Linked DNA regions of Nothobranchius furzeri. The protein of the gene in region 2 interacts with the protein of the main gene of each other region in a pairwise test. Links are inferred from orthologs where the notes say so. Each region holds a gene or a part of one and is shown on either strand. Other genes may lie near its edges.

The links. The genes of interacting proteins can lie anywhere in the genome.
Region 1: the proteins of erlin1 (region 2) and fa2h interact in binary tests that used the Homo sapiens proteins (3 or more experiments, as listed by UniProt). The two-hybrid records come from large-scale screens. The link is inferred for Nothobranchius furzeri from reciprocal best matches to the Homo sapiens genes ERLIN1 and FA2H.

What each region holds. Positions count from the first base shown.
Region 1 is NC_091744.1:84,882,618-84,890,423, reverse strand, and holds part of fa2h (fatty acid 2-hydroxylase), read left to right. Parts: intron 1-3,842; coding exon 3,843-3,985; intron 3,986-5,304; coding exon 5,305-5,405; intron 5,406-5,564; coding exon 5,565-5,737; intron 5,738-5,982; coding exon 5,983-6,235; intron 6,236-7,806. UniProt on the Homo sapiens protein: Catalyzes the hydroxylation of free fatty acids at the C-2 position to produce 2-hydroxy fatty acids, which are building blocks of sphingolipids and glycosphingolipids common in neural tissue and epidermis.
Region 2 is NC_091752.1:23,927,656-23,935,473, forward strand, and holds the start of erlin1 (erlin-1), read left to right. Parts: upstream 1-2,338; 5' UTR 2,339-2,415; intron 2,416-3,249; 5' UTR 3,250-3,259; coding exon 3,260-3,378; intron 3,379-5,125; coding exon 5,126-5,207; intron 5,208-7,818. Other genes in the region: inhibitor of nuclear factor kappa-B kinase subunit alpha, read left to right, coding at 815-864, 985-1,084, 1,280-1,333. UniProt on the Homo sapiens protein: Component of the ERLIN1/ERLIN2 complex which mediates the endoplasmic reticulum-associated degradation (ERAD) of inositol 1,4,5-trisphosphate receptors (IP3Rs).

The DNA of each region.
Region 1 (7,806 bases), on a different chromosome or scaffold from region 2:
AAATAAAATGCTTTATATTTTACTGCATTAATTTTACATCTGTAAGCCAATTCTAAATGTAAAGATTGTCTGCGTAAACCTGAACAGATGTAAAGATTGTCTGCGTAAACCTGAACAGGTCCAACCCGGTCTTACTGTGAGACCGGGTTGACGGGTCACGCTTGTGTGTAATCATAGGCGCTTTCTGAGCTGACGAGGATGTGAGATTCTCCTCAGACGGCTCCTGGATGTGTCGCCACATTGGACAGGAACAAGCACTATTCAGCCAAAGTTTCATAATCAGGGAACATTTTCTAAGTGACAAGTCTCTCTGAGAGACAGGGTTTGGAAAACACTCGCTTCAGTCGGAGGAATCTTCCTGCATGCGCCCTGGTTCTGCGACGCGCTCCAAGCCCCTCTCCACATATTCAGCTCGCTGTGTACCTTATGTAGTACACGCTGACAGCGAGCTGCGCTGAGCAGTGTCCAGCTCAGGTGTTCAGATGGGAATCATTTCTTGAGTGATTTAGCTACATCTGCAATGTGCGTAGAATAAAGTGTCAGTTCGTCTGCATGCGTCGGGGTAATTCTTTCTATTCTTTCTCCGTCAAAATAAACGGTCAAATACGGGAACTATCCGGTCAACACAACACAAGCCCTCCTTTTAACTGTTCTGTTTTCTGGTGAAACTTGTTGCAAAGAGATATAATTTAACTTGATTAACACCAGAGCCAGGCGCACTGCGCCGTTATCTCCGTCACTGTAAATGAGGGAAAAACAAATTGATCGGATCCTTTTCTGACCTTCCCCACCTACAAAGTTTAATTACAACAATCAAACGTGACAGAGCCTGGATTTGTATTCTGAACAGTCTAAACATGTTTTAAAAAGAAACGTATGACAAAAGTGGCACCTGCTCAGTAAAACCACCAACAGGGTGAAGAATATCAAAATATTGTAGCAGAGACAGGCTACAACTTCTGGATCCATTTTACATGAATCGTTTTATTGATTATCGTCTTATGAAAGATAACTCTGACGTACACGAGCGACCGTTACTGGCTGCTGTCACCTGTTGTGAGCAGCGCTCTGCTGTCTGAGGGTAGGCCCCGCCCACAACGCCGCGGCTGCTGCGGCTCCCAGTGTTTTCTTTACTGTGGGAAACGGCTAATAATGGCTCTTTGATGGGAACAGGTTGTCGACCCCTGAGCTAGTGGGAGCTCGCGCCATGGGGAAGTGCAAGTTTAATGGTTACTGGATGGCTAATCCCACGTTTGCGACGTGGTTAGCACCGATTTCAGGCAATAGCTGAAAATTATAGCTTAAATTTAATTTAAAAAATAGCTTAAATTTGGTCAAAGTGACCTTAAAAAAGGTCTTAAATGTGGCTCCCTTAAACCTGCAGATACCCTGATTTGAGCCTCTTTTGTAAATGAATGTGAGACTGGGAACAAGAGGAGGCAGCAGGATGGTGAAGAAGCCGGAAAATGCAGGAAATGATTAAACACAGTAGGTTCCTGTTAATGAACCATTTAGCATATTTTAAAAATGGTGACAATTTGGGAAAGCAAATCCATTCTCCAGCCCCGAAATCTGATTTGCATTTGAGCGACTTCCAATCAAATAAGCAGTTTAGGTTGGAGTTGTAGTGGAATATAGTTGTATATTCTTACACTGTTATTAGGTCCAGATATTATAATCAGAATAGGTTGTTTTTTCTTCAGGGAGTTTTATTTAAACACTTTGTATTGACTTAGAGACAAGAAAAGAGAGAGTTGGGATCGTTTAAGAATCTTTAATTTCTATAATTATAAATTCAAACAATGTACCAGGACTAAATCTCTATGATGGATGCATATGGATTTGAATGTTGAAGTGTTGGTGTGTGTGTGTGTGTGTTCAGAATCTCCAGGCTGAGGCAGGCGGATCTGGGTGTCTGATGTTTAGACTAGCTACCACGAGGGCTTCAGTAGCTCTTGACATGAAACGCCATCTTGCCGAGGCTACGTACCGTATGGAGTCTCCCGTGGTCAGATCAGGAATGTCAGGTCCTCGGACCCCCTTGGTACTGGACTGATGAAACAGTGTTGCAGCACGACAAACCCGTCTACGGATAGCTCCGGCAGTAGCGGCAGGTCTCAGCGCGTTCAGCTTTTATTGTGAAGGAACCGTCGTCTTGTTGTTCAAACGACAGAAATTCCAGCTTGACAGTTCTCAGCTTAAAAGTAGAAAAACACAGCTGGCCAGACTCTAATCTCCTTTAGTGATGATGATTTGAGAGCTGGTTGAAACTACGTTGAGTCTATGATGTAACTCCTTTGGAACTCAGGTGGAACTGAAGTTAAAATGGTGTTGCTCTGTTTTTATTAACTTAGTTGTTTATAAATCTTAGCAAATCGGAGTGGACAATTTAAGTAAACAGCCCAGATTCTGCCCTGCGACAGACGAAAGCTCTGATTGGCTGAGAACAATGTGTCATGCGTTCTTATGTTCTGTGGAATAGTATGTCTGGTGCGCAGTCCTGTTTATTCATTAAACACATAAATCATAACATTTTGATTTCACAGATCAGTCACCTGATTATTATTGATCAACATATGTTTTGATTAGCTTCATCACAAATAAAGTACTTTGACTAATTAATGAGGAGCGTTCTTCTTCTTTCTTCTGTCTCCTTTCCTGGAATGTAAACATTTAGAAACAAGCACCCGACCTTGGCGATTCATGCACGCTGTTACTGTGTGAAGGGGGCAGCTGTTAAGGGCAGACAATAGGATCTTAATAACGCTACAAGAGTGTTGCAGTGAGTGTTGATGAAAAAGCCTCGCACTCTAAAATCTTTGAGCTGAAGTCTGGATCTGTTTTCTTTAAATACCTCCCCGAGATGATTTTTGTTTCCTGATGGGTCTGTGAGCTGCAGGGTCGGGATCACGGTTGCATTGCATCCCCAGAATCCACTGATTTCCCTCTTTCCTATTCACTCTCTCTCTTTCTTTACATTTTTAATCACAATTGTCTATTTTTTGCTCATTTAAAATATTTTTAATCATTTTCTAAATGATTAGTTATATTTTTTCATTTTTGTGAAGCGTCTCGTGATTTTTATCTTGAGGCGCTATAGAAATATTTTCTTCTTCTAAAGGTAATGGAGTGCAGTGAGATAAAATGCTTTTTAAAATATTTTTCAGTTCTAATCAAATTTGTTTTGTTATGAAACTTGAACCTTCGCCAGCTGGTGGATGAATGATGGACGGTTGGAGATTTATTTAGATAGTGATGAGACGGGTAACCCACCTGTGGGCTTATCTTGCTGCTGAGAACACGTAGGTGACACCAGCGACTCGTGAACTTGTTGACGTGTCTTCAGAGTCAGTACAAGGTCACGTGACCGGGGCGGGTCTTCTAATCACCTTTTAATGAGCCTGAAACCTTTAAGTTACCCAACGTGTTTTAAGCATAATTTAAAATAAAGACCATGAAAGCGTTTGGATCATTTGATGCTTCAGGGGTAAATGTGTAAAGTTCTTATACACTCAGGTGGAGTTGGCTTCCTAATCTGGATTATTTCTCCTGATAACAAGCTCTTATTCAGCTGACTCGCATGGGAAGCCCGTAAAGATCCCGTAAAGAGAAGCTGCCTCTGGGCTTTGGCCTCAATGAAACGTTTTAACTGTTGCTGTCATTAAACTGGGCTGAAGCAAACCTGCAGAGAAACACGCACTCAGATTCAAAATGTTCACACACTTCCTGTTTGGCTGATCCTGGAAGGTTGTAACTTTCTGCCTCCACCTGCTGGAGCAAACCCTTATTCATCTCCTTCCTGGCTCTGGAGGCCCTTGTGACTGGTTCTCACACATTTCTAGGATTTGGTGGACTGGACAAAGCCCCTGGCCTGGCAGGTGGGTCACCTGGGAGAGAAGTACGACGCATGGGTTCACCAGCCAGTCGACCGACCCATCAGACTCTTTGGGAATGCCTTCCTGGAAGCCGGCACCAAGACGTCCTGGTGAGGAATATACATCAGTGTAGAAAATAGTCACATTTAACGCAGTTACGATTTTTAACAGCTGTAATATTTTAATTGTATTTTTAATAAGAAACATTAGTGTGGTATTAGTGAAACATTTTAATGCTAATTAGGAACAAAATGCAACAAACCAAACTCGTCAGCTTTATTATTAGATTTGACTCACATTCGTTATTCAGTTTGACAGAATGGGACTGACGCTGAGCCAACGGGTCAAAGGGAAATGAACCTGGGAAGGGTTAGGGTTAGATGTTCATTACATTCAAATGTATTAATTCATATTAACTAGGAGTAGACGGTGTATCGGGCTGATATTTGTCCTGAGTAAAGCCGATTTACAGTCAGGCACATCTTTGGGCAGACAGGTGATGTAGCAGAATCTCCTTTAAAAGTGTTTATGTTCACTAATGACATCGGCATAATAAATACTCTAAATCAACTTTATTTAGGTGTCTGACTTTAACACTGAGCAGTGCATAAAGTTCAGATTTAACAGTTGGTTTAATTCAGAGTGCAGTTTAATTTTGTGCATCAACCGATGTTGATAACGGTTTAGCATGAAATTAAGCTGGAAGACGTCTCGATGTTGGCCATGAAAATCGACCCACAACAATCAGCAGTATCTATCGACCATCGGCCGACCGTGTCACCTACACATCGGCATCAGCATTAGAAAAACCAATTCGGTCGACCTGTTGGTATTATTTTTAATATTTATGATTCTGGTATGAAAATTTATACATGAGTGACATTCGGATCACAGATTAACCCTCTCAGGCTCAAAATAAGTTTTGATAGAAGGATGAACAACTAAGTCCTTCAGGGTACTTCTGCGTTAAAAATGCTCATGAAATATGTGTGGAGTAACCAGGTAGGTAGGTTTTAACCCGCCTGCCTCCAGAGGGTTAAACAGTAATCATGCTGAATGTTGGCCAATTTTAATCACCAGGAAATATTTTGTGCATTTCTAGTTTAAAGCACTTCATAAAAAATACCCAGTTGAGATTCAGGCCTTTAAGGGTTTAATGCACCAGTTTGAACCCTGGAATCAGGACCTTAAAAAATTAAAGGCAGTTGTTTTCAGCTCAGAAACGCAACCAATTTTATTTTCTGAGCTTCAAAAATCTTGGATTGAGGTGAAGATTGGGATTAATGCTTCTTTTAGCTGCTGTCTGGTTCTTGAGGCCTACGTCATGAGTTGGGCACACTTTTATCTACGTGGGATTAAGCCTCCTCTTGTTGAACTCTGATTTTTCCATTTAAATAAAAACCAAACAGGTGATTTCTGATGGTTCCAGGTACTGGGTACCGGTGGTTTGGCTCCCCCTGGTGTTCTATCTCAGCTGGTACTGCTACACCACCATGGCAAAGGGCACCTCAAGGATAGACGTCACTTCAGGTAACACACCTGTAGCGTAAACACAACCTATTTACCAACCCATGTTTTTATTTGAATACCTAGACAGACCAGGGTGTGTGTGTGTGTGTGTGTGTGTGTGTGTGTGTGTGTGTGTGTGTGTGTGTGTGTGTGTGTGTGTGTGTGTGTGTGTGTTCCCAGACTTGTCCATCCCCATCCATAAGTACATGTTCCCAATGTTTTTCCTGATGGGCTGGTTCTTGTGGACTTTCATTGAATACTGCATCCATCGCTTCGTCTTCCACATGAAACCGCCCGCGCACAACTACTACCTCATCACGCTGCACTTTCTGCTGCACGGGCAGCACCACAAGGTAGAACCAGGTTCTCACAGCTAATATTGGTGTTCTCCTTGGTTCACCTTCTTACTTTCACATGCTAACACCCTGCAGATCACTGCTGTCAAACTTTTGCAATGGTTCCTGTGAATAATTAGTATAAGCACGAGTAATATTTAATATTTTATTACATTAGAAAAATAGGTTGAAAGGCTAAATAATTTCTATTTACAACCAAATAAAAATGTATTCCTCCATCATGTATTTTGTTGTCTCCACAGTCTCCGTTTGATGGCTCTCGGCTCGTCTTCCCTCCTGGTCTGGCCTCCTTAGTCGTGGGAACTTTTTATATCTTTCTCCTCAGCACGCTCCCAGAGATCCTCGGGGTATCCGTGTTCGTCGGAGGGCTGTGCGGCTACGTTGTGTACGACATGATTCACTACTATCTTCACTACGGATCACCAAAGCGAGGAACGTACCTGTACAGTCTGAAGGCCTACCATGTAAAACATCACTTTGAGCACCAGAAAACAGGTCAGCACAACATCACACTTCCTGTACCGTTTAGGTCCATCAAAAAATACTTCAAGAGTTCTTAACTTTGATTCTACTGAAGAAGTTTGGACCAAAGATATTCCTGAAAATAGGCCTGGGCGGTATGGCAAAAATGTCATCACAGTATTATTTTAAAATTATATCGGTTTTATGGTATTTGACAGTATTTTTCACAAGGCCATGATTAATAATAATAATACATTTTATTTCAAGCGCCTTTCAAAGCTCTCAAGGTCACTGTACAAGACAAAATATAAGGAACAGCAAGCAATACAAACAACAAGAAATAAATGCTAAGAGTAATTCCCAAGGGTAGAGTCGGAGCAGTGCAATGGATAATAGACTAAAAAGAGTCGATGGAAGGAGGACAGTTACAGTGAGTAAGCCAGGCGGAACGTATGAGTTTTGAGTTGAGACTTGAAGGTTGAGAAGGAGTTTATATTGCGGAGGTCAGGCGGCAGAGCGTTCCAGAGTTTTGGAGCTGAGTGGCTGAAAGCTCTGGCTCCCATAGTACAGAGACGAGTGCGAGGAACAGACAGGGAAGGTGAAGATGATGATCGGAGAGAGCGAGTGGGAGTGACGATGTGGAGGAAATTAGAAAGATATGGGGGAGCGAGATTATGGATGGCTTTAAAGGTATGAAGAAGTATCTTATAGTCAATTCTGTATTTGACAGGGAGCCAGTGAAGTTGTTGCAGGACAGGGGTGATGTGATCAAAAGTGGAGGTCTCGGTGATTATCCAGGCAGCTGAATTTTGGACTAACTGTAACTTGTTGAGTGATTTTAGAGGGAGACCGGAGAGGAGGGCATTACGGTAATCGATGCGACTGGTGACCAGGCTGTGGACCCAAATATCAGTGGAGTGTTGACTGAGGGAGGGGCGGAGCCGACTGACATTGCGAAGATGAAAATAAGCAGTTTTTATTGTGTTGTTAATATGAGGAATGAAGGATAAGGTGTTGTCTAAGATGACACCCAAGCTCTTAGCTTTGGCGGTGGGGAGGAGTGTGGCGTTGTCGAAGCTGAGTGAGAAGGAACTGGTCTTAGATAGAGATGACTTGGTGTCAGTGAGGAGGATCTCAGTCTTATTGCTGTTGAGCTGTAGAAAGTTAGAAGAAAACCAGGATTTGACTTCGGTGAGACAACTGAGAAGGGAGGATGAAGGGAGCAGGGGGTTTGGTTGGGTAGAGAAGTAGAGCTGGGTGTCATCGGTGTAGCAGTGAAAATGAATAAATTTCCTGAAGATATTGCCAAGTGGGAGTAAATAGATTATGAAGAGAAGGGGACCTAAGACTGAGCCCTGAGGAACTCCAGAGGTAACTGGCTTGGGGTTAGAGTGGAAGGTGCGCAGTTGGACAAATTGAGTGCGATTAGATAGATATGATTTGGACCAATTTAGAGGAGTTTTTGAAATGCCGATGGTGGATAGTCTGTGGAGTAGATTACCCAGATTATTTTTATAAGAAAAGAATTACTGCACTAGACTGGCCTTAAATAGCCCGTTTTACCTTCATGTGCAGAATACCAGTTTTTCCATGTCCAGTCACAG
Region 2 (7,818 bases):
AGTCAGTGGTAGAGTTGTGTTGCTAATAGCCAATCAGAGAAGAGATGTCAAAAATCCTGAACCCCCGTTCAGCTCATGGGTCCCCAGAGCAAAGAAAACATTAATGGAAGTGAACAGGGCTATAAAAGGTATTTTCTGGCCCGCTTTTACACACGCTCTGAACTGCACATTTGTTGTACTTCAATTTAAATAAAAATTCTTGATGTGTGATTCAAATTTCTCACATGATTAGAGATTTCTTAGCTTTTGGAAATTCGTATTTAAAATGACGACAAATCAGACGTTGCATTTATGATCACCACAGGATCTCTTCTCCCCCATCATAGCTGATGCTTTCCACATGGCCAGATTTATAGTTCTCCACATTTAATGCTGTTTCTGTCGTCCTGGATAGAGATTCTAAGCTTGCTAAACTCAACGCCATTTTCTTCTCCTCTTCTTTGTGTCTGGTTTCTATGACGTCAATTTGGTGAGACAAGCATTAGTTGTCTGCTATGTCTTTTCACACAAAACCTGAAACAACCTTTCACCTGTCAAAATAAGTGCTTTCTTGGCATCAAATTGTTTCTTTAAAATTCATGGACATCATGGCACATAGTAACTTTTATCAGCTCATAGACTCTCATTTATGTATTTATTTATTGCAGAAGGACAGGACCCATGGTCCAGAAGTACACTCCCTATAGAGATCCCACTCTCAGGGCTCATACAACAGCACATTTTTTAAAATGCCCTCTTTAAAGCTATAAGCTAAGCAGTATTAATTGTAATCAGGTTATTCGGGAGCTAACACAGTGTGTTGCTTTGTTCTTAGGCTCAAAGGGATTCTTTATCTCCGTCATTTACACAACAATCCACTGACAGGTAAGATCTGTTCAAGACTTGCGTCACTGTCTCAAGTATAAAAGTAGTACAGTAAAATGGTAGTGTGGAGTAAATGGTCCCATCAAAGAGTTCTGTTCTTTTTTTTCTTTCTGTTTTTAGTGAAACTGTTTCTCAGTTGCTTGATGACAATCAGCGTTATATGGCTCAACTTACGTCGCTGCTTCAGGATGCCACCCAGGAGATGGAGCACAGTGTTATGGTACTGTATTCAGTTACAAATCGGTGTGCTAATTACTAGTTTAAATGCAGATCTAAGAATTACTAATAAATGCACTTTTAATCTGAAATATAAGGAATTATGGTTAATTTTTATTTGAAAGAGTTAATTGCTTATCTAGGTTTCAGAATGGTATGTTTACTACTGCTGTAACAGAGACGTTTTCTGTCTCTCCAGGATCAGGATTGGAGCTGGATTCAGTTTGGAGCAGTGAAAGTAGACTCCCAGTAGCGGAGAGTTTTTATACAGCTGATACTTTAACAAGTGCCTGTTTAAAATCTGAAAGCGTTTGTTTCCAGATTGTGTCATTTATAAGGTTGCATTGCTGTAAGGCAGTTCTGGATGAAACAGCATCACAAACTCAGCTATGCATGGTTTAAATTAAACACATTTGCAAAATGTTCAAAGGTTTATCTGGCAATAGTAATAATAATATTTATTTTTTGTAGTATTGATTTAAGTTGAACTGTGCTAATGATAAATTGTGCATGTGAATAAATTTGTACAACTGTATGGAACATTTACAGTGCTTTGACTCTCATAATATATATTTTAGTGCAACACAGTTGAACATATTTATTTTTTATCTCATTTAATTCAAAAGCAAAACAGATGAAATTGGCTGCTCATATTTAAAATTTTAAGTGGGTAAAAAACAAATTCTGAGAAAATGTATAAAAGACTTTGGTGAAGAGACAGCTGCAGGTGAAGATTAAAACAAACTCAGTTGGGCAATTTGCATTAACTGAAATGCTGATTGAATAATAAAAAAACAAAGACATTTTGATTATTTCAAATGTCCAGTTTGACCAGGAAGAGAAAAAATATTGATCTTTCCCTCAATTCTATTCATATTCTCTCTCTCTTTCATGGCATTTTTAGTCAATATTTATTTTCATGTGAAACATGGTTTTGTCTTTTTTTTTATCTTTTTCAAAAATAATTTTTTTTAGTTTTAGTTTTTGTGAACGCCACATGATTACTGTCTTGAGAGGTGCTGTATAAAAGATTGTTTTCTTTCTTTCTTAATAAATGTCAAAACAGTGTTTTTTGTTTAGTTTTGTTATTTTTACACCGGGGAATTTTGTAGTAGACATTTTCACATATTTTGTATTAGAATTTTTTTTCATTTTGACTAAGATAAATATTTTTGGACTAGTCAGGTTATTTTATGTTACAACGGCTTTCCCTAAGTTTGACACGCTCCCACTTACGGCAGTCTTGAAACCTGAGGGAGGGGGAGGAGTCGGGCCGTGGGCGGGGCATGGGTCACTGAATGATAAGATCAGAAGTGGAGACGGCTCGATACTGTGGTAAATTTATGTCAACATTCAGCAGTTTATTTTAACGCTCAAATGGCTACGAGTGTATTTGAGAACACTAAACATGTCGAGATTTATTTGCTTTGTTCTAGCAGCCACGCAAGCTACTGTTAACTTTAAGCTACAAGATGCTAACGGATTGACTGACTTCCGAGTCCACCCGATACACACAGCTAGCTGGCTAGTTAGCTAAGCCTGCCAAATTCGCATACCAAAGGAATAAGTGTCCGGCTTTTGAATTTAATTGGTGATTCTGCCGATTGAAATTAATCTATTCTGCGCACATGATGCAATGTTACTTGACAAAATTATTGAAAATATTTTCCTTTAAATATCTTGAAGCAAATCATGTTAGCGTTAGCCCAGACTACTGTTTACTCGTGTTTCAGTCAGTGAGGTGCTTCTCCGACTTGAAAGCACCTGTTTGAGCAAATCAGGATATATTAAATTGAGAGGAGAGCAGAAATAAATAATACAGTGGACTAAACGTGGTGGTGAACATGATTAGTGGCATATTTCATTTAAACTTAAGTGTTACTTTGAAAAAAGTAAAGTGGAATGCTGTTTTATACCAGATAACGTTCAGTGCATTGATTTTTGTTTGACTATTATTATTAAAATATATAAAACTTTTTAAGACTTCATTATGTTCAGCATGGAAACAGACTGCAGCAGCAGTAGGTTATTACTTAAAAATAAACATTGGTTTTTATGTTTTTGTTGCTCACAGTTAACAGCATATTTATCTGACCAGAGCCATCGTGCCTCTCCCAGTAGAGAATGTTGTGACAACATTTCAGTGTTTGCTTCACTCTTTGCCTGCAGGTGAGGTCAAATGAGGATGACGATGCCGCACGTGGGGGCAGTGTTTGCAACAATAGCAGGAGTGATGGCCATCATGTTGCACTCCTCTATTCACAAGATCGAGGAAGGACACCTTGCTGTTTACTACAGGTATCTCAAAGGCAAATTTATGGGCCATTCCCATCCGTACCGGGTCGGCCCGGGCCGGGTAGCGTAGGTTGTTTACATATCTGGGTGGCCTGGTATTTTTCTGGGCCAACCAAGGCTCATTCTCAGCCCTCTTCTCGAGGGGGTCTGCTTCAGGCCGACCAGGGCCAACACACCCACTGCTGACAGCAAATTCACACCTTCCATTAGAGCAAGCCTCTGCTTGGTGGGTAGAATCAGCCCACATGGGCTTAAGGCAAGGATATGTGGAATCAACCGGGCCAGGCTGGGGCCGGCTGGGGCTACCCGGCCTGGGCCGACCCGGTACAGATGGGAATGGCCCACTAGAATCCCTCGTCGTTCACATCATTCTTCCACGAAATAAGACATTACATGTTCTCATGGTCTCTTCTTTTTTTCATATTTGAACAACTTTGTTCAAATATGTTCAAAAATTCATCATGTGTACAGATGTTTGTTTTTATGATTTATGCTGTGTTGATTGATTGATTTGATATTGTTTGTGATCATCTAATAGTGTATTCTACAGTTGAGTGCTGCTGGGTGTTAATGCTAGACAAACCATGTATTTGCAAGTACATGGACATCGATAAAAACAGCCTGACAGACATCATATTCAAACGTTTACGCTCAAATAGTTAATCATGACTCACAGTGCTCAAGTAACATTTTCTTTAAGGTCTTATTTTTACTGTTAGGTTATTTGTGTCACTATTTTTTGCTTACTATCCACCTCTGGCAAAAAAGCAGTTTTTGTCCATATCTGAATGCTGTTTGGATGAGACCGTCTCCTGGATAACTCCACATCAATTCAATTCAAGTTTATTTATATAGCACCAAATCACGACAAGAGTTGTTTCAAGGCTTTTCACATAATAAAATATTCCAATACAGGTCAGTTCATTAAGCCAATCAGAAAAAAGTTTCCTATATAAGGAACCCAGCAAATTGCATCAAGTTACTTACAGGTGTCAGTGACTTTACAGCAATCCTCATACTAAGCAAGCATTTAGCGACAGTGGAGAGGAAAACTCCCTTTTAACAGGAAGAAACCTCCAGAGGATCCGGCCTCAGTATAAGCAGCCATCCTCCATGACTCACTGGGGTCTGAGAGCGTTGCTAGTGTCAGTTCAGACATAGGACCATACTCACCGGCTAAATGTGTGGAACTAATATATACGTGAACCCTTTGATCTATTCCACATCATGACAATCTGCTCTCCAAAAAATAAAAACTTCCACTGCTTTGCTATTTCTGTCTTTAGCCCGGTACCCTTTCGAGGTTTTTCATGTTGTCACAGATTTTATGTGGCTTTATAAAAAGGGTAAAAAATGTCCCCTTCGACATCCAGTCTGGGTATCAAGAGTCCGATTAGCACCTGCCCTAACGTCAGAGCTTAGTTCCGTTCTGTTTGAAGGTATTTGTGATGGAAATACATATTTAAGCAGAGCGCCTCAGACCCATAGGCACCAATGTAAAATACATGCTTGTTCTTTGGCTACATCACATAATGTCAATGTTAAGTCACAGTCTACTGTAGAATACGCTATTCTACATTTATTTTACATTTTAAGTTCATGCCTTCTGTTATATATATATATATATATATATATATATATATATATATATATATATATATATATATACATTTATACATTTATTTAGGATAAAATTGCAACACCATAGCACCCTTAGACCTTAGATAAGCCTTTTTTGTATTTGTTTCAGAGGTGGCGCATTGCTGACATCTCCAAACGGTCCAGGATATCACATTATGCTGCCTTTCATTACCACCTACAGAGCTGTGCAGGTAAATTCAGACTTCAGATTTTCCTTTCATTTCTGTCGCACACGGATTAGCAACATTCCACAAACAGGCTGGGGAGCTACAACTGAAGTAGTTCTGTTTTACTCAGACGAGGCACTATTTTTGTCTGTTATAGAATGAAAATTAGAACAAAAGTTAAATAAAAATAACTGTTCGATAAAACTTTATTTAGCAGATACATTTCAGAGATTTAACATAAGAGGGTGTTATTATAGAAATATATGGATCCACTATCATTAGTGGTGCAACGTATAAAAACAACTCACTAGAGTTGGGCATCGTTTGATTTTGAACGATTCCGATTCCAATTCCTCGTTTCGATTCCCGATTCCGATTCTTTCAAGACATGACATGCTTTACATGAGCCAGCTAACCACAGGTCCTACTTGATGAAATAATCTTAACTTCAACGTGAATTGTAACGCTATGAACAACAACATCACTTTCATTTAGACTAAAACATGTTTTGGAGAAAAAAAGAAAAAGACTTGCAGCACAATCAGTGTGTTTGTTTCTGACCACAACCAAAGTAAGAGTAAGATTTGGCCTCTGGGATGAGAGGCTAAATGTCTCCAACATATCCAGAAACGTCCGGCTGTTTTCAGCTAAAACTCTCAGGATGATCATGTCCAGGATGACTGACCCCGGGTTTCCACAGGAGCCGTCAGCAGCACGTTATTGCAGCAGCACGTCGCGTAAGCTGCTGCTTGGCCCTTCCCACGAGACGCGAAGCAGCAGGGGAGCAGCTGTCACCGACCGAGCACGAAGTCACACGAGTGACTTCGTCAGTAAACACAACAACAAGCAGGAGAAAACTACAACATGGCTCCAAAATGTTTGTGTTTTTATGTTCTGTCCGTTTTATAATCGCCAATACGGACCTGAAAAACAAAGGAGACCGCTAGCAAGGTGATAACTTCTCATGGGGCCGCACAGTTAGTAACTTTTTTAAAAGTAAAGCAACCGGAAGGCAGTACGTTCTTTATTCTGAAAATCTCGGTAGCTTCTCTCCATTTCCGCGTCCGATTTCCTGTCTTTCCTTCCCCAAAAATGTCGAACTTGACCCGTTTCAGAGGCGTCGCGCGTAGAAAATAGAACCGGCGCGTAAAGGCCGCGACATGCTGCTCCTGAGACGCGGCCGACTTGCGCTGCTGACGGCTACGGTGGAAAAGGTTCTGTTGACCACAGCGGTTCCTATCAGCAGCTATGACGTGCTGCTGCAGTAACGTGCTGCTGACGGCTCCGGTGGAAAGCCGGGGTGAGAACTACACCTCCATGCTGCAGCAGCATTCAGTCAGAACAGGAAGTGAAACTTAAATGTAGCTGCTGTAGGTAACAATCTAACAGATTTTAAACATTAAAACTCTCAGCTGAAATAGTTCAGAAAGGAAATTAAAATGTTCACAACTTTGTGTGTGATTTATTATTATTATTATTATTATTATTATTATTATTATTTATTGTGGCAGAAGCTGGTGTGGTCCACCACAGAGAAGCTGCTCTAGCATTATGACTTTAATTATTCTACAGGTTGTTGTTCAGCCTTCTGACACACACACACACACAGACACACACACAAGTGTTGGTGAGCAGCTGCGTCTGACTGCTGACGCTCCGTGTGTGTTTTTATTTCTGCAGTGAGACAAACTCACCTCACACCGTCCAGTTTTTTTTTAAAGCTTCTATTAAATCCACCGTTTGATGTATTTTAACAAGTTTCCTCTACACTGCAGAAGTTAAAGTTTACATTACGGAGTAAAAGTTCAGCAGACACGTTTGTTTATACTTGGCCGCTGCGCGTCGGGGGAAGGGAGGGGGACTCGGTGCTGCACACAGACAGCTGGTGTGATCAGCTCTGAAAAGCGTTGATCACAATTTGCAGATCACGTTTATTTTTCACGGAGATCGGCCGCGGATTCCTCTTCTGTCGGCACACTAGGAATCGAAATAAAAAACTTTGCCAGATTGTGGGAAAAACTAACAGTTGGTCCCAGTTCCAATCGATGCTCAGTGCTCGATGCCCAACCCTAAAACTCGGTTCAGATCAGATCACTGTTTTCAGTCGGACCATTTTTCCATTGTCAAAGAAAAGACAAACAGCATTCTTCTGTCATTTTTGGTTATACGTGTCATGCAACATTTTTCTGCTAAATTGGTAACGTGCTATTAAAATAAGAATTAGAGGTCTGATTGCTGATTAAATGATAAAATGGCTTGCCGAAGCCCAGCTCGCTTCCTGCGTGTCCTGTTTTCACTTATGTCCTTGCTTTTCTGAAGAGTTGTTTATTTTTCTTTCCTCCTCTTTTACAGATTTGCCCCCAACCACTTTAATGTAGTACTTGTCCCAGGCACCACCTCCCTCCATTCACAGTGATCTGAGTTAGGTGTGCGCGGTGCTGTGCCGTCAGACAGGAGTGTGTGTTTATTTTTGCTGTTTGCATCATCCTCCATGACCACCGACCGCTGTGCTTTCCTTGTGACCTCGGCCCTTCACACGATCGATCCACGGATCGTGCGTGTTGAACCGTAGAGAGAGATCCGTGTGGATCAAAGATGATCCCTTGCACCCCTATAAACTGCTAGCATGCATTAA